Linked DNA regions of Caenorhabditis elegans. The protein of the gene in region 1 purifies or fractionates together with the protein of each later gene. This does not show direct contact. Each region holds a gene or a part of one and is shown on either strand. Other genes may lie near its edges.

Region 1 (6,728 bases):
GGGGGAAATGGATTGTGGTAGAGAATGTGCTGGAAATTAGAATTTAGAGATACGTGCATGAATTGGAAGCTAATCTGTAGACTATTATTCATTCTCAATATTATTTTTTACAAAAGATATTCACATCAAAGTAGCACGTTGCTTAAGTATTCAGAAGAATTGACTTCCAGGAGGCACGGGTATTTTATTTTAGAAAGGAGCGACTTTATTATGAGCCACCAATAGAAAAGCATGGCACATCTTTAAGATATAAAGTTCTCGCAATTTCTGGTCTATCAGCTGGGGAACTATATGAGTATGTACACATGTAAGATATCTCGCACCGAACCTATTTACTGTACTCACATAAAATTCCAAACTGACTACACCGTGCAGGTATAATCTAGATGACCTTTTTTGCCAATTTTAATTATTAGACATACGATAATTATTACAAAATTGTTTTCTTTGATCTTTGTTCTTTGAATCTTGAAAAGATCGAAGTACCTCCATATAAAATCGTTTTGCTTTTTCACAAGCATTACGAAGCGATTTCCGATTATCAGCCGAATTGAACGCAGCTTCAAAATATTTTGAATCGACTAATTCTGTAGCAGTTCGACGAGAAACTTCACTGATTGCAAATGAAACAAAATTCCTTCCATTTTCCGATTGGCAACATGTTACAGTCATTCTTTGAGGATCACAAGATGCATCAGCAAGATAATTGTTCACACAATTATACGACATCTGAACAAGAATCCATTTGATTTTTGAATTTTCAGTTTGCAAAATAAACGTTTCAAAATCCGTCTAACTCACAGTGAAAGAAGTAGGATCTTCAATTTTTCGAGTTGCCACAGCTCCATTTTTTGTAAAAATCACTTTTTGTGAATTAGTCTTCATACAAGTTGGCATTTTTAGAAATCGTAAGTACAGAAATAAATTTTTAAAAAACGAACCAGAAGCGGTTGAGCAAAACGTGAAAATTTAAATAGGATAATTTAATATTTTTCAAATTTTTGGTAAATTGCCAAATTTTCCAAAAAAAAAAACGCAATTGAAGTATAAAGCTCGTAGAAAATATGTTTTTGTCAATTTCCTAAAATATGTCCTAAAATATCCTAAAACTAAATAAATCTAAATTTTTCAGCAGCTTCAGTAGAGACTGCAACATCTAATGAGATCTTCGTTGGTGACTACAATGCTCATAATCAGTTCAATCCAAGTTTTTTTAAAACTTAAGCAGGAGCTGAGGCAACAAAAACAGTTGTGTAAAAGTCATGAATATTTAGGTTGTCGGGGGGTTCAATCCATAACTAACTTACCATGTTTTGATATACTTCCTTTCCCCTCAAACTACACGAATGTATTTTATGATAGTTTTTGTAGTGTAATAACTTCTAATAACTTGTCTAATAACTTGTATCTTACTTGTTTCTGCTTTTATTATTAATACATTATAATAAATTCAAAAACAAATTTGTTCAACTTTTAAGTAGGGAAAAATTGAATAATTACCAAATTGAATAGACACACTAGTTGTCAATAGATTAGTAGGTCTGGAACAAATTGGTAAACTGTACATATAGTAAACCATATATAATAAATATATTTACTAACCAGCTCATGAATGTAATTTTAATTCAATGTTTAAAATTAATAAAACTTATCTAAATTGTTTTCATGCCCGTTTTTTAGTATACTCACTTACTACAACTCTTATCTTATCTACTACAATAACCTACAACTTAACTCTTATTTGTCTCCATTTTCCCGCTCCTCTGTCTCGATATGTTCCGTTTTCTCCAAAACTGCAAAATTGTATGTTTGTCAGTGTCTCCACCATTACACCACCGTCTCAACCCTGCAAGACCGGTGCATACACGCTCCGTCGACGGCCACGCGGTTGGTTATTGCCTGCGTAGCGACCCACACACAGTGATGGGATACCGAGTTCAACCGTATTTACGTAAGACCTTCGCAACTGTTTAGGCAACTTTTGAAAGTCTTTTTTTGAAAAGTTTCAGACTGTTTTCTTGTGATTTTCAAGACAAAACTGTGTAAGTATTAGGGAATGCTTGGTTTTTGTCTTAGATATAGTATCTACCTACAATATGCTAAGTTGATATGATAAATTATTGATTGATGATGTTTTTTCTATTTGTCATCATTTTTAGGTTATTATGGTTTAAATCAATTTAGATACATTCAATTTGCTGACTTTTTTGAAATGGCTGTAAAAACTAGTAGATTTATCAAATTGGATCTAGGTCCCCATTTCTTAAGGACTATGTATTTGACGCTTTACTATATTTTTTCTGGTTTTTATTTATTCTTAAATATTGTTATCATTTAAAAAATTAACTTGTGCGTTGTAGGGTACCAATATGTCTGACGATCATCACGACGACGAGCACTTCCACACCGGAGACTCTGGAGCTGCTGCCACATTCCCAAAGCAGTGCTCTGCTCTCCGTAAGAACGAGCATGTCATGATCAAGGGACGCCCATGCAAGGTTCGCTTTGTTTTAAAATGTTGAAAAATTAAATAAACTTAGAAGATGTTTTGTGAAAAAGTGCGATGAATGACTTGGATAAGTTTCGGCTGAAACTTGGTGATGCCAACTTTTTAAAACTGCTGAGCACTTTTTCTCAAACAAAAACCCAATAAATATGAAAGAACTATATATATAGTTATATAAACTATTCACTCATAGTTTTTTACAAAAACTGAAAGCTTACCAAATTGATAATTAATTCCAAAACAAAAAACTCCTGAAATTATTTAGCTCACAAAATACCCAGATAAGATGATATGATTTAATCCTAAAAACTGTTAGTCTAAACATTAGATAGGCCAGATATTTATATTCTCAGAGGCGAGTGAAGAGGCGGATCAGAGACACCCCGCCATGCTTTTACCGGAAGGAAATTCTAAGACAGTTAATTTGAATTTTAGTTCTAATTTAAATATTAACATTTTAAAATTGCAAAAAATATTTGAGGAATAAAAAAAAAGTATACATACAATCGTAGCACCATGCTTCTAGAATGTGGACAAATCAACTTTGCGTAACCATAAAAGTTATCTGAAAGTTGTAGATCGTCGAAATGTCGACCTCCAAGACCGGAAAGCACGGTCACGCTAAGGTCCACATGGTCGCCATCGACATCTTCACCAGCAAGAAGCTTGAAGATATCTGTCCATCCACCCACAACATGGATGTTCCAGTCGTCAAGCGTCGTGAGTACTTGGTAGGTTTTCCAAAATTTCATATTGCTAAACTATCACTAAATTTTTATTCAATTTTCAATATGCTTGTTCTTTCAGTTGATGGCCATCGATGACGGATATTGCTCCCTCATGGACCCAGAGTCCTGCGAGCAAAAGGATGACCTCAAGCTTCCCGATACTGAGCTCGGACAACAGATCCGTGATGCTTATGAGAAGGACGAGGGATCCGTTTTGGTCCAAGTTGTCTCTGCTATCGGAGAAGAGGCTATCCTCGGATGGAAGGTCAGCACCAAGGAATAAATCGTCAAAGGAACCCCCTGCCAACTGCTCATGAATCCTGATTCCCCCGTTCCACCCCGCAAAACTTTCACTGTATGAATGGTGCTGCTTGACATTCCATTCCAGAATTCAAGTATAACCCATCATCAAGTGCTCGTGTTATTTTTCTTGTTTTCATTAACTTTTTTTTTTGCTTTTTTTCAAAACATAACTGAGAATTTAATTTCAAATAAATTATCAGAAAATTTTGGTTTCCATTTTATTTAAAAACTATCAATCCACCTCCATGAATTCACTCGTTTTTTCTTTTGCCTTCTTGTTCCATCATCATCCGTAGGTAATTTGTTTCTGTTCCATCATCTCACACACTCTCTCTTATACACGCACAACAATTGACTAAATTTGATTTATAAATGAAGTTGCACGGAGAGTTGCTTTTCGATTCACTTTCATTTGATTCTGAATCTAGGAATAGTTGAAGAGAAAAGAAGCGATTTCATTTCCGGTACTGGGAGATATCTGACCAGAATCTTAGTCAGATGCTTCTTTTGTTTTTCGATTGACTAGGAAATATGTTACTAAAGAATAATTCCTAGAGTTTTTAAGTTTTTCAGTTCTAAACGCTTTCCTATAAACGCAATCCTGGAAATGTTTAATGACTCGTAAAGCAACCGTTTTTGACAAGAGACACCTGTGATTTATACGTTTTTCAAGCTTCATCAAAATAGTGCCTAGAATTTCCATTCGTTCTTTCAACTTTCAGTCTGAAAAGAAACATATCGATGTATCTTGTTAGGTTATTTTGGCTCACTTTTATAAAAATATCTTCACTTACTGGAACGGTCATATTGTTTTTTTGCGTACTTATACCTTTCTCTGCTTGACTTCAAAACTTAATTTTAACAAAAACAAGAGGCGTGGAAAACTTTAAAAGCTTCTTGGTAACAACTCGACCTTTCTAATGGGATTTTAAAGTCTAGACACGTGTTTACCAATTATCAGCATACTTGTTGTATTGTCTATTTTAGTTTATAAATTAGTTCAAGAATAAGGTTCAATGTTTTTGAAATTGACGCTGTTTTCATTTTTGATTTGACAGCTTTCAAGGGCACGTTACCAGCTTTTCCAAACCGAGCTGTAGAAATCTGCCAATGGTGCACTAAAAAACTTTCTACAAGTATCGTGCTGAATTTCTTAACTTCTGTAACTGAAACCTCGTTTGTATGAACAAAAACTTAGTTAAGACCGTGTAATAGTTCAAATTGAGTTTGCATTGTTGATTCGCATCAGAAATTTAAAACAAGCATATCAGGCATTGAATATAATTTGCAAATTTCAGAATCGCCGCTCAAAATATCTGAAAAAAGAATATGACGGATCAAAGAATAAATAAAGAGAAAATGGGCGTGGCTGAGCCGTCTCATATTCACTCATTTCCCGACGGACCGCCCGTTCCTTTTTCTCTTCAACAAAATTGTCCTCGTTCGTTTCGTCTTCCACCCGTCAAAAATAGAATAACAACCACTATCGCCGTGTCGTCACTTTTCAATTTTTTAGTCGTTAGTAGTTTTAAAAAATGACATGTAAAAGCTTTCTTTGACATGGTTTTAGATATATGTTTCTCTTTTTATGTTTTCAATTTTGAATTTTCGCTTGAATGATTTTCTTCTTTTTGTTTCAAATTGAACACGAATCTGCTTTTTTTGAGGTGGACACCAGACGCGAGAAATCGAATACTACTTGAAAAAATATAAATTTCTTTTGGTTTCTTATTCATCACCTAGTTTTTAAATGAGTTGTTTTTTTGTATTTGAAAACAATAACACATAAATTATTAGCTTTGTTAAAGAAACGTTCAATCCGGTTAATTTTCCCGTGTTTTCTAGAGATTTAGATTTTTGCATACATATGATAAATTCACAATATTTGTTCAATCGAAAATGTCTTAAACCAAATATTGTTTAAAAAATTCAAATTAATTTGGTACTTGAGAAAGCTAATAAATTAAATAAGTGTAGGCTTAAAACATACCTGTTAAAAGTAGGTAAAGATTCTTTGACCTGTAAACCGGATGTTTTATAAAAGTTGAAGAGTTCAACACGTGTATCATTTCCTGTATTCATCCATTTCACTTCCGGTCTAACGGAACTTGCCGAAAATTTGCAAAAATTTAGTTTCTCCGCATGACAGATTTTTTAATGTTCACATCATATTAATTTTGTTATTCTCTATTATTTTGAATTAATTCATGTTTTCTTCTAATTGTAATTCACATAGCTTATTAGTATCTTGATGTTTTTGCCAATAGTTTGACTATACACATTTCCATAGAGCTTTTCTTGTACAGACCATGTTTTTTGTTTTCCAGTATGCTCGATGTTAGTTTCCAAATTCGTAATGCTCGACACATCTGACAATGTAATTTTACGCAAGTAATTTTTGTTAGCGATCAAAGACCGGTCAAGAAAACGATCACTTCAGACAGTTTGCCATACGTGTTGTGCGTTTTGTGTCATAAAAACAAGCAACGGAATAAAAATAGATTAAGTCCAAGAAAGTACAATGCAATGTGTAAAAAAGATTCGACAATGTGGGTGATATTTTTCTTAGAATTTGCGTCCGCGGAGGATTAACGTTCCCCGCCGATTCATTTTCTGGAATATATACATACATAGATATCAAGAACACTTTTCTTCCCGTAGATACAATTTCCAGGAAAGGTCTCGTTAAAATGTTGGGTTTACCGATAATTTGCATCGAATTCATTGCATCGACCATCATTAAAAATTTCAAGAACCGTCTTGCATGTATGATTTGATATACCTGATGTAACCTGTTCTAAACATATTCCTTGACGTATAGTATCAGTAGTATAAAGTCTAGACTAATCTCTATGGAGTCCTTCATACATCTATTCATTTCCTCATTGTTCCACGACGCCAGTGTATTTATTTTTTGTTGAATATTCTCACAAATCCCTTTAATACTCTGTCCTTTTCAATTTACCCTTTTCTTTATTTAAAAGTAAATGTGTTTTCAGTTTTATCTTAATCCCATTTAGAAGTTTTAAATATAATTGAGTATGATTTCAGAGAATGCCACAATTCTACTTTTCAAATAAAATTTTTGAAATAACTGTTCTATATTCTATTTTTATACAAAAAAATCCTGAAAAATATCGCATTTTCATCAAATATGCACACTCTTCTTCGTCTCTCACTTACCCCTTAAG
Region 2 (6,557 bases), on another chromosome or scaffold:
CCTCAAAACTTCCAAGTGGTGAGATTTTGAAGAGAAAGCTTTTGCGGATACACTCTCAGAACTTTTTGCCAATTTTGGTCGTCCGTTGTTTCTCGCAAAACGGCTTTTCCTCCGGCTTTCTTCTGTTTCTTCCACCAAATTGGACCTCTTTTCTCTTTTCGTCCCTGCGTTTCGTTTCCCGTTACTTTTTTCCCAAACCAGCCACGTCGTCGTTGCGCCCCAAGTCCTCCCAAAAAAGCGGTGCGATGACAACGTGTGTGCTCGGCGAGCCCAAAGGCGATTTTTGATTTTTTTTTAATTTTCAGTCGGCTTACCCAATGTCTACTTTGTCTTATTCTAACACAGTCCACGATGGTAGTAAGCTAACGAAGAAAAAGAAGAAGACAAATGGAAATTTTGATCCACGGAACAAACGGGAAGAAGTGAGTATTTTGGCACACAAAAAAAGCGACGGGGCCTAGAAAAATCGGAAACTCGGCCAGCTATTGATATTCCGCAAGAGTGCACAAATTTGTTTAATTTCTAAAGTTTTCCGGAGCAAACCAAAAAAATTAGAAAATTAAATATTTTTTGTTTCCGTTTGCACGGATTTCTGGCTTCCTTCATAAAAATGGAAGAGTTTGCCGAACTAGGCCATTTTGGCTCGGTCATATCTGGGGTAGATTTACGGCGCGTTGCGTGTCGCGTCGCGGCTCGATTTTAGTTGTAAGACTAAATATATTTGTCCGTGTGGAGTACACGACTTTCCCACGCGTTGTCCGTCTGGCGATTTTCAATGGAGCGCAAAAAATTCAATGAGGAAGACCAGAACCCCGGGATTAGCCTGGAAAATGTTCTCCTCGAGGAGTACACGAGCTGCGTAAATCGACACATATATCTATAGATGCGTTTTTTTTTGATTTTTGACTCAAAAAGGTAAAAACCGAAAATTTAGAAAGAAGTGTGCGCCTTTAAAAAGTACAGTAGTCTCGAAATCTTGCACTTTTCCTATTTTCAGATGTTTTTTGTATTACTTGAATACAATTTTTTCTGAAAATGTGTATTTCGCAACATATTTGACGCGCAAAATATCTCATAGCGAAAATTACAGTAATTCTTTAAATGGATACTGTAGCGCAGGTGTCGATTCACGGGCTCGATTCTATTTTCGTTCATTTTTTCGTATTAATTAAATTTAATTTAAAAAAAAAAAAAAAACGAGCCCGTAAATCGACACCAGCGCTACAGTATCCATTTAAAGAATTACTGTAGTTTTCGCCACGAGATATTTTGAGCTTTAAATATGTTACGCAATACGCAGACTTCTCAAAATTTTGTGTTCCCATAGTATATGACTTTATAATTTTATCAATTTTCACAAAAAAAACTTTAAATTTTTAAAAGAAACAAGAAAAAATTAAAGAAGCCGAAGCTGATTGCGAAATAGCTATACTTTTTAAAGGCGCATGCATCGTTTCATAAAATATAATTTTTTTAAATCGTGTCGAGACCGGTTACCGTACTTTTGCGTCGAAAATTACAACATTTCGCTATTGGATAATAGGACTTGAAAGGCAACCACCTAAAATTTTAGCTAAAATCGGGGGAAAAAAAACGAGATTTTCTGATTTTCCCAGAAAAAATCTCGACTTTAGATCAAAAATATTTTTTTTATTACAAGTTTCAGTTTCAGTCTCCAATGTGGCTCATGGAGGCGTGTGTCAATCCAACAACTGCCGGCTCACGAAAATGGCTAACAGAATTTCTGCCGATGGCTGCTCAGCTTCTTCTCGCCGACCGGCCGGCCTACATAATTGTTCGAAATTCGTGGAATCCCACACCGTTCGACCATTATCCATCGAGACCTGCCACGTCTATTCTGACGACGAGTGCCGGTAACGACAACAGCATCTACGTTTCAACGGATGCAAAGATCTGGACAAGTCAAGAGATCCGAGCCACCGTCGAGGACTGTGACTTTGCATCCGGAAACATGTGGTTCTACATCGGAGCTCCACGAAGTTCCGACGAACTTTTCGAAAATGTAATCGATCCACTGTTGCAGTGGAATCGTGCACCATCTGGCAGTGGTGAACTTATTGGGAGTGCCGAAGACGCGTTGGCACTGCTGCATTGGAATGCTGCAGGAGAAGTCGCCGTGCTTGGAGCTCGAGAGCTGAAGGTATAAAGGATCTTTGACTGCACCACACTTATACATGCTTCATTGCAGAAGTTGGCTAGCCGTCTCGGGATTGTTATCGAGAATGAAGACGCGATGGTTATCGACTGTCTCGAGGAGGACTTCTCTTCCAATGCCGCCACCGCCACATCCTCGGACGAACCAGAGGTGCCACGTAGAATTCCGATATTCGATATGTTCTGGGTCGGCATCGCGTTAATTATCCTCCAATTGTTGTACTTGTTATCGAAATTCGACTTTTTCCGGGAATGGTTCGCCTAAAGATAATTGATAAATAAAAACTAAAACAGAAGCACAATAAAATTCACATTTAAGTTTATGGATAGGGCTTAGACAAAAAAAAGAGGGAAGCAAATATATAAAACTCTTTTTGAAGGGGGTGATTTGGGTGGTGGATAGGGGGAAAGGATATTTTTTCACAACACAAATTATCTATTTTCGCGGAGAAAAAGCGTAAAATCGTGGGGATGTACATTCACACAGACACACACATTCAAAAAAGAAAATAATTTAGGTTACGACGTGAATTTGGGGGTGGGTGAAGGAATTTTTTATAAGGGGAGAGAAAAGACAGCAGAAGAAAAAGAAGTGAAAATCAAAAAAAAATTACATTAGATAAAATTTAGAGTGATAGGAAGAGGGGTTGCATTAGAAAATTTTCAGTGGAAAGAAACAAAAAAATACGACTAAGAGCTTGATGGTGAAAGAGTGCCGAAGAGGGGGGTATCACAGAGATTATCGTTTCGATTAACAACATCCACCGCTCTTCTTGTCTTGAACCGGTTGACTTCCCGTGATACGCACACCTGGAGCACCTCCGGCTCCTTGAACTGGTCCCATACGTGATTTGATTTCCGAAGCCATGGTAAGGAAGGCCTGAAATGTGATTTTATTTTTTTAAAAATCATTTTTAGCCCAACAAACCTGTTCAACATTCGTCGATGACTTGGCGGATGTCTCGAGGAACGGGATTCCGAGTTGTCCAGCATAATCCTGGGCAGCTTGAGTCTCCACAGCTCTCTTCGCTGTCAAATCGCATTTGTTTCCGACCAACAGCTTGTTGACGTTCTCACATGCGTACCTATCGATTTCCTGAAGCCACTGCTTCACGTTGTTGAATGTCTCCTGAAAAATGCTCATAATATTTATTGTTATAAGCTTTTTAGGAAAATAAACTAACTTGGTCAGTGATATCGTAGACAACGATAATTCCGTGAGCTCCGCGGTAGTAGCTCGATGTAATTGTGCGGAAACGTTCCTGACCAGCAGTGTCCCACTGAAAAATAACTGTTTTAAAACGAATTCGCCATTTTATTTGGTTAAACTCACGATTTGAAGCTTGATAGTTTTGCCGTCGAGCTCAATAGTACGGATTTTCTGAAAATTACAAAATCATAATAAATAATTTCGACGGAAATACTGAAAACTTACAAAGTCAACTCCGATAGTGGAGATGTATGATTCAGTGTATGTGTCATCGGCGAAACGCAGCAACAGGCACGATTTTCCGACGCCAGAATCTCCGATGAGGAGGAGTTTGAAGAGGTAGTCGCTGAAATTGGGAAAAAAATTGTTAGAAACCGAATATTCTTCTGCCGCAAACTCACTATTCAGGGTTCATTGCTGCCATCTCCTTTTTGTCGATCTGATAAATTGGAACCCCCTGAAAAATTATAAATTGCGAATTGAATAAAGCATGAGGAATCGATGCGAGAATGAGGAAAATGAGTGTCAAAAAGGATTGCGAAAGTAAAGATGAGAACGGTGACAAATCATATGACAAATCGGTCAGCAACAGGAGACAACGTGTATAATTTATTGATCGCGGTGCGGTTTGTAAACAAAAGAGAAAGCAACGAGAGAAAACCGGTTTTATCCAGACGAACAGTGCAAGAAAACCTGACTCTTTTATCAGTAAAAGAATTTTTCCTGAAAGGAAAAATTCTAAAATTCCACCGGATCAGTTTACAGACTCCAAAGCTAGAAAATATTTCGCAAGACTTTTTTATCGATAAAAATTACTTTTTCGGCATAATTTCGACTCTGATCACGCCAATAGGCAGATATTAACATCAGAAACACAATAAAGAACGTCTGGAAGCTTTTAAAAAGTCGAAAAATGGATAAAATTAGCCAGGAAAAGCTGTGGAATCGGGAGAAATGACGTGGCGAGGCAGAGAGATGAATACCCCGTGACTGCGGAGCGGCTGCGGCGCAACGCGTGCGATGGGGCGCACATGCATTATTGAAATAAAAACATGTTTTTATTGAATTTATTTGATCGAAAATACATACCTATAAATATATAAATAATATATAATATAAATATATAAATAATACGAATTTTATCTAATTTTCTGAATATCTGAAAGCATAAAAAGAACTTCACTATTTGAAGATCCTTTCCAATCTAGGAAATAATCAGATTAATCTATTGATTTTGCAGATTTTTTCCACAGAAGCTACATATGGGAGTGAATTCTTCACAAGTTGCACAAGATAGATTAAGGTGCGTAGTAAAAAATAAAAATAATTTATGGAAATTTTAAACTTTTAGTCTCACTTCTACCAGTCAAAACTCCCCGAGAAACGGTTTGCGGAGCGCTCGAAATGTGTTGAGAGCAACTTCGCGACTCAAGTTTTCGTTCAAAGTAAGTTTTAAGCACTCTGAAAATATCAAAAACGGATTTTAAAATCCGAAAATACGATATCCGGTCTCGACACGACAAACTTTTGTTAAATGCAAATTAAGTGTGTGCGTGCGCCTTTAAATCCAACTGTAAAAACTTCAAACTTTCGTTTTTTTCCATCAATTATATATTACGGGAACACAAAATTATGAGAATGCGTATTGTGCAACATATTTGACGCGCAAAATATCTCGCAGCGAAAACTACAGTAATTCTTTAAATGGATTGTGTAGCGCTGGTGTCGATTTACAGAAATCATTAATTAATCGATAAAATATTAAAAAAAAACACAAAAATGACAAAAAAAAATCATTGAAGTTGAAAAAAAATCGTTTTTAATTTTTAAAACTGTAGTTTTCGCTACGAGATATTTTGCGCGTCAAATATATATTGTGTAATGCGCATTTTTAGAATTTCGTGGTCTCGTAGCGAAAATTACAGTAATGACTTGTGTCGATTTACGGGAGCGATGTTTGAAATTAATTTCTTCTAGTGACAGCGAAATTATTTTCCAATTTTTTGCTTAATTTCGAAATTCATTTCAAAAATCGAGATCCCGTAAATCGACACAAGCGCTAGAGTAGTCATTTAAAGGATTACTGTAGTTTTCGCTACGAGATATTTTGCGCGTCAAATATGTTGTTTCGTTCCCATAATGTATAGTTTGAAGTTACAGTACTAGTTAAAGGCGCACACATTATCGCATTTGGCAAAATATTTGTCGTGTCGAGACCGTCCAACTTCCGCGTCACCAGGAGTACTGGCTTTCCTCATTTAATTTTTTGCGCTCCATTGACAATCGTCCGCCGGACAACGCGTGGAAAAGTGTTGTGTACTCCACACAACGAAAATCGAGCCGCGACGCGACACGCAACGCGCCGTAAATCTACCCAAGATATGGACGAGCCAAAATGGCCTAGTTCGGCGCAAACTCTTCCATTTCAATTTTTAAGTTAAGCCAGAACCGCGTGGCGTCGGGATAAATAAATTAAATAATAAACGACAAATCTTTTGCAGAGAAAATCTTCCACTCGAGACCAAATCCGACCGTTCGAGGAACTCATCAAAAGTTGGCCAGTTCAAGATCTCAACCTTCTTCTAGCAGAATTTGAAGCCGATTCGAAGCTACTCGAGTTTCAGCGACTATGTGATAATTCAAGAAAACCGACAAATTCTTTCCTCAGAGACTTCGAGAGCGGGAGAACCGTGTCAGGAAATCTGAATATCTTATTCAAATTCACCTCAATTCGCGCTAACCGCGCATTCGTTTCTCAAAGATGTACAAATCTCAAAATCTCGGCAAACTACGATGAGAACCCGGAAAACTTTGATTTGTGCGAGCAAAAATTTTTGAAATTCGAACAAGACGCGGTCGAGATATTCTTGAAATCGTACATTTATAACGAACAATGGCCGGAAAACTTGGGAAGTGAGATGCTCGAACAACTGTGCACAGATTTTGGATGTTTTAAGAAACTTGAAGAAGATGTGAAGCATATGTACAAGCAGGATCTGAAGCATGGCGACTTGATAATTGAAGTTGTCGACGGAAGTGAGTAGAATAGTTTTTTAGTTTCTTAGCCTTGGGCTTAGGCTTAGGCTTATCAATAGGCTTAAGCACGGGACTATGTTTAGGTTTAGGCTTAGGCTTAGGATTAGGCCCAGGCTCAGGCTTAGGCTTAGGTATA
Region 3 (6,165 bases), on another chromosome or scaffold:
TTCAAGAGTAGATGAACATGTTTCAAGAATACGATGTTTATCATATGTAGCATAACCATCGTATATTTCCAAAGAGTTTTGATCGCATTTTTCAATGTCTTTTGAATGCATTGAAACTGGAGGAATAGTGACTTCGATTATTTTCCCACCGGGAGCCGAAATAAACCATTCACAGACAATGTCTTGGTGGTTTTGTGGGACGGAGATTATTCCTTCTGGTTTTGAGCTACGGTACCCGCATTCTGCAAATAATATACTTCCAATTGAATTATATAAAAATTCCACTAACTTCTTTCAACGGTTTCCCATTTGATAGTAAAAGAACCTTGGGTTCCTCTAAATCTCAGCATTGCTCCTGTTGAAGTCATTGTGATTGGAGTGTCACTCAGCGGTGCGTGAACACTGTGTGAATCTCCACAGAATGTTGCAAACTCAGAAGAACTGTCTTCTGGTCCATCGTATAATGTCAAATTCGCATCAGTTTTGGCACAATCTGTAGGTCCTGATCCTTCTTGCGTAAATTTATCAAATTCTGTGAAAGTCATTACAACTGCAGAGTTTGCAGCAGGAATATTGAAGACGAAATCACATATGGACAGTTCCGTTTTATTCGATCGTTGTAGGTCGAATGTATAATTTCCGCTCGAATGAGTGAAGTGAGAGCCACAGTCTACAAAATGAGTTTTGTTTTTGAGGTTTCAGTCTCTGCTGATGTCTACTTGACAGTGACTGCGCAGTCCCAGAACAACCTTCGGTGGCTAACTGTTACTCTTATTTGTAAGGAGCAGAGAAACCAGTCAAGTTTTGAGCAGGCAGTGGCGGTATCGGTAAGACTTTGGTACAGGCTTTGGATCTAACTTCTGATACTGTAGAATCTTGACTGAAGAGCGTGGCATGGTGAGTCCACTTTTTTAACAACTCTGCCTGTGAAACCTACCAGCAGTTAGATCCAAAATATGTTCAAAAGTCTATACTAAGTTTGCCCAAGGCTAAAGCTGGGCCGCTCCTTGTACAGAAAACAAGCAATAAAAATTTTATTAATGAATTTTCTTACGTTCTTCCTCTTCTTCGCATGCCCTACCAAAGAAGTGCTCTGGACAGTCGCAATAAGCAGAATTTTCAACGGCAATACAAGTTCCTCCATTTTTGCAAGGATTCGTTTGGCACGGTGATGTTTTCTCACAGAACTTTCCAAGAAAACCAGCTTCACATTCACATTTATATTCGGTGTCGCTTGTTGGCTGAAAACTATTTTTTGAGTAACAGTGCTTACTTGTCTTCATTTGTGTTACCTTGCATTTCCCAGCATTAACACAATTGTGGTTCTGGCAAACGTTACTTGCTGACTTAACACATCCTTCCTCTCCAATTCCGTCACCAACATATCCATCTGGACAGTAGCAAGTGTAGTCTCCAACAGCACTGTATCCGTCGTCAGTTACCTTGCATGTTGCTAATTTATGGCATTTGTTTTTGACACAACTATCATCTTTCACACAATTTCCTCCATCGCCGGAGTATCCAGTCGGACACGAATCACAATAATAACTGCCAAGAGTGTTATGACATTTTGAAAGCGGAGAGCATACACGAATTTCACCTTCACATTCGTTGACATCAATACAAACATTTCCATCGGCTGAATTTATTTTACTTTTTGGATTTCAATGACAGATATTCAGTACATTTTTCGACACCTTCAAACTAACAAATTCTGATTTTTCACATTGTTAAGCCGAAGTTTATAAGACTTTCTCTCCTCATTCTCGGAACTGAGAAATCCAAACAAGTATTTTCACAAAAAAAGCTTGAAATTTGTAAGTGTTATACAGGGTAGGCACTTGTTCAGGCGTACGTGTCTACCTCATGCCTACCACACACCTATTGACCTATTTAAATGCCTACTTACCTATTTTATGAAAACGTTTTGGATACGAGTATATATTTTCTAGACAAGAATTAAACCAAAAAAATTATTTTATTTTTGATTTGATTGAACATATATAATTCTAACTTACTTTTATATCCTTTTGGACATCCGGAACACACAAACGATCCAGGCAAATTAATACAATCAACTCCTGGATGACATGGATTTGATTCGCATTCATTGACATCAACACACGTTGGATTGTTCTTATCACTTGAAACCTTGAAACCCCAATCACAAATACACTTGTACGTAGTTGTATCGGAAGATGACTGACCAGTTGGATCCACAATACTCTCAATACAATGCCCATGTGGACCACACAATTCAAAAGTTTTCGAGCAAGCGGACATATGATACTGACAAAGAGATCCATGATATCCGGATTGGCACTGACATTCAAATCCGCCACGGTTATTGATACATGTTCCATTGTTCTGACATCCAGCAGTTGTACCATTGTATACTGAGCATTCATCGATGTCAGCTTCACAAGTTGTACCGGTGAAATGTGGAGGACAAAGACAAGTGAATTTGGCGCCAAAAGATGGGATACATGTGCCTCCATTACTACATTTGTTCGGATCGCACGCGTTTATTGCTATCAATTTGTTGATTCCTCTTGAAAGTTAACAATTTATAAAAAATAGTCAAACCTAACTTGTTGTGTCTTACATGATTTGACGTGTCATTTTCACCAATAATCCCCGTCTCCTCATGTCTCTGGCCATTTTATCAGTTTTCCACTTCTTCAAGATATTCACTTCGAGTGTCATATTTCGAAGCTAAAAATTGATTTCAAAAAGAGAAAAAAATGTATGGAATTACCGCTACTAGATAATGTTTTGCAGAATTTAAAACCACTCTCATTGCAGAAGTCTGCGTGTCCTGGCGACTTTTCAAAGTGGTGAACATTTGAGAAGTGTTCTCAATACGTCCAACAAGTTGCTTGAAAGATGCCTGAAAATTATTTTGAATATTGAAAATTGTAATTCGAGTTAATTTTCAAAAACTTCCATAGTTCAAACATTTTCAAACAATTATTCATTTTGAAAAGTTTTATAAAAATAATAGAACTTAATTATCAAAATTTACGTGACCGTTTCTCAGGAAAGTGATTCTTTTTAAATAGTTGTCAAAAAGTAAATTTTTGCGTGATCTCCGACTATCTAATTCCAACTCTTACTCGTAATCCACGTTTCGTTCCTTTTTCTAATCTGACCGTCTATGTTTTAATCAGTTCTTGAAACATGGGCAAGAAGAAGTCTGATACGGCATCCGGTGGAGCTATTCCAGAAGGAGACAATGAGAAAGGAAAGAAGGTTAGTTAAATTTTTCATTATAGTGTTCCCAGAAAACCTATTGATTTTCAGATCTTCAAACAACGTTGCGAGCAATGTCACGTTGTCAACTCATTGCAAACAAAGACTGGACCAACATTGAACGGAGTGATTGGAAGACAATCCGGACAAGTTGCTGGATTTGACTACTCGGCTGCCAACAAGAATAAAGGAGTTGTATGGGACAGACAAACACTTTTCGACTATTTGGCTGATCCGAAAAAGTACATCCCCGGAACTAAGGTAGGATTTTCTAGGAAGTGCGATGGAGTATTAATAAGAAATTTTCAGATGGTCTTCGCTGGTTTGAAGAAAGCTGACGAACGAGCTGATCTCATCAAATTTATTGAAGTGGAAGCTGCCAAGAAACCATCGGCATAAGCCTCTACTAAATAAGAAATCTGTGTGTTAAGCAAAGCAACGTATCAAAAATAAATGTTTTGTAGAAGCTCGTTCATTTTTTTTTTGGATAATTTCAGCAGTCTACCTACAATATCTGGAAGTTTGGAAACATCTGTTTCGTCCACATATATTCTTCCATTTCCAGTCGTTTTGAACGTTATATTTTTATCCTTTCCGGCATGCAACCACACATTTCCATCAACCATTAGAATACGTGATCTGAAATGTTTTCGGACGTAATTTTGAAAAAAAATTAAAGGATTCGTTACCTTGTTTCATATGAATCTTCGATGTGTATTTCTTCATAGTCAATTGAAGATACATGATTTAATAAGCCGAATAGTATTAATGAAAGAAATAACTGTAAGTTAGGTATCATTTGTTGCGAAAATGAAATGAAATTAATGGAGTTGCACGGTGGAGGGTGAATAATTTGTTTATGTCATTGATACCTGATTGGAAATTGAGACGATCCATTTGTTTATAACAGATTATGTAAGAGAACACCTGCCAATGTTTAGGTTATGAGTAACTAGTGGGCCGTTGAATTTGTGTTCGGTTTTAATGAAAAAACTGTTAAGCTGGCTGAAACTCAGGTATCAAAATATGATGGTGTTGAATACTCTCCAAATAATCGCTCTAAAAAAGTGTCAGGCTGTACAGATATAACAAATGTATCTTATTAATAGTTCAAAAATAATATTTCGTGCAAACTGATTGGTCTGGCATGTGGTAAACAAATAAGCCAGCAGTTGAGATGTAGGCAGGCACGAGGTAGGCACGAAGACAATTCCACTGCTTTAATTGGAAATATTTTCAGGTATTAATCTGCTTTTTCAAAAATATTTTCTTACACAACATTTCGCATAAATTTCGAATCATTTATTGTTTTTTTTTTCAATTATTTTCGTTCGCATAAAGGCAGTGTGAGGAATGAAATCATAATATGAAACAACGATGGGCTGGGCAAGTTCCGTAATACTCTTCTATTTTCTTCCATAAGCATAATAATAGTATGGAGATGTATAATAGTAGTAAGGTGGCTGAGCAGCCACAGCTCCAGTCTGTTGAGTTCCTTGCTGATGATTTTGAGTATTTCCAGATTGATCATATTGAGGCGTGTATTGCTGTTGTTGTTGTGGTTGTTGCTGCATTTGGGATGATTGATCATATTGAACCTGTTGGGTATTTCCTGATTGATCATACTGTACTGGTTGCTGTTGAACTCCTTGTTGGTATTGAAGAGTTTGTTGTTGCTGACCCTGTTGCGTTTGTTGTGGATAATACTGTTGTTGTTGTTGTTGGGTTCCTTGAGCATACTGTTGGTTTTGTTGTGGTTGCTGTTGAGCATAAGCTTGTTGGGAAGCTCCACCAGCCTGAGTTTGCTGAGCAACTCCAGTGGTACCAGCAACTGCAGCGGTTGGATAATAGTAATAGTATGGTGTGTAATAACTTGTTGGATAATACAAGTATTGGGCAGAAGCCACAGCAAGAAGTGAGCAAAGAGCAAGGAGGCTGAAAATTTACGAATGAATGATGCACATCCTACCTAATGATAACATAAATCGTTTGCTAGAAAACTTACGTGTTCATTTCGTTCGATTGAAGTGAGCAGAAATGGTGAAGATTTTTCGTTTGATCATTTTTATACCTTATTTCAATGGGTGTGTCTAACCCAATACTGTCATCATCAGTTGCATTCCGAAAAAAACTGCGAAAAAACTCCACGATTGTATGTTTTTCTTTTATTCCATCCATGCCAACCACAAAGTTACTGAGTAAACTCGAGGTCAAGAGAAAAGAGCCCAATCAAAAGAAATAGTGAGAAAGCAAAGAGAGCAAGACTCTGAGTTTGTTGACTTTCAAAAGGACTTCATTGAGAATGGCAGTTGGCGGCAAGCTAAAACGGTTCAATTTGATAATGGTGATAATGATCAAGGCTCAAGATTGATACCTTAGATTGATATTTAATTAAAAGTGCAAGATGCTAAATGGCTATAGTAATAACATTATCAAATTACAAATCTGTAAAACTGACTCATCTGAATCTAAACAATGGGTCAAATTTCTAGTAAGCTCGAAGTTAATAATTACTAAATAATTTTTAACAGAAAACTTTGAGCTTTGAGCACGAAAAATTCGACGACTTTTCATGTAAATAAACGGCTGGAAAATCATTTTCAACTGGTCTAACGTTGTTATGCCAAAAATGATCATTTTCACGGTTTGAACCAAAATTATAAAGAGTTTAGTGACTTTTATGTGATAAACTTCTACAGGGATCTAGCAAACATTATTTTAGTCAATCTCTGAACCTTGGATACCTTCTAAGTCATATGAATCAATAATAACTGTGATCAATTTATGGTCAACCCATGTTTCCAATCTTATTAGTAATATACAATTCCACAAGAAACCACGATAAAGACCACGGGTAAACACTACATTTTTTGTTTGTAAGTCATTTTGTGTTTCTGAAAAATAGCAAACAAA

Evidence for each region.
Region 2: the proteins of iff-2 (region 1) and rab-1 fractionate together in Caenorhabditis elegans (co-fractionation; one large-scale study listed by BioGRID). This does not show direct contact.
Region 3: the proteins of iff-2 (region 1) and cyc-2.2 fractionate together in Caenorhabditis elegans (co-fractionation; one large-scale study listed by BioGRID). This does not show direct contact.

Annotation. Positions count from the first base shown.
Region 1 is NC_003280.10:8,556,597-8,563,324, reverse strand, and holds iff-2 (Eukaryotic translation initiation factor 5A-2), read left to right. Parts: upstream 1-2,360; 5' UTR 2,361-2,369; coding exon 2,370-2,498; intron 2,499-2,552; exon of another isoform or gene 2,553-2,634; intron 2,635-3,084; coding exon 3,085-3,237; intron 3,238-3,313; coding exon 3,314-3,517; 3' UTR 3,518-3,744; downstream 3,745-6,728. Other genes in the region: F54C9.14 (PID domain-containing protein), read right to left, coding at 1-29, 487-729, 802-897. UniProt on the Caenorhabditis elegans protein: Translation factor that promotes translation elongation and termination, particularly upon ribosome stalling at specific amino acid sequence contexts.
Region 2 is NC_003283.11:1,260,148-1,266,704, forward strand, and holds rab-1 (RAB family), read right to left. Parts: upstream 3,843-6,557; 5' UTR 3,810-3,842; coding exon 3,787-3,809; intron 3,732-3,786; coding exon 3,611-3,731; intron 3,557-3,610; coding exon 3,509-3,556; intron 3,456-3,508; coding exon 3,360-3,455; intron 3,305-3,359; coding exon 3,104-3,304; intron 3,056-3,103; coding exon 2,927-3,055; 3' UTR 2,470-2,926; downstream 1-2,469. Other genes in the region: C39F7.1 (uncharacterized protein), read left to right, coding at 318-422, 1,667-2,161, 2,210-2,440; C39F7.5 (BACK domain-containing protein), read left to right, coding at 4,648-4,688, 4,737-4,830, 5,887-6,421.
Region 3 is NC_003283.11:12,609,233-12,615,397, reverse strand, and holds cyc-2.2 (putative cytochrome c 2.2), read left to right. Parts: upstream 1-3,179; 5' UTR 3,180-3,180; coding exon 3,181-3,252; intron 3,253-3,303; coding exon 3,304-3,513; intron 3,514-3,561; coding exon 3,562-3,651; 3' UTR 3,652-3,716; downstream 3,717-6,165. Other genes in the region: cubn-1 (Cubilin homolog), read right to left, coding at 1-242, 290-670, 1,055-1,241, 1,293-1,639, 2,019-2,551, 2,606-2,715, 2,759-2,890, 3,762-3,891 and 1 more; ZC116.1 (Prion-like-(Q/N-rich)-domain-bearing protein), read right to left, coding at 4,659-5,187, 5,258-5,430. UniProt on the Caenorhabditis elegans protein: Electron carrier protein. The oxidized form of the cytochrome c heme group can accept an electron from the heme group of the cytochrome c1 subunit of cytochrome reductase.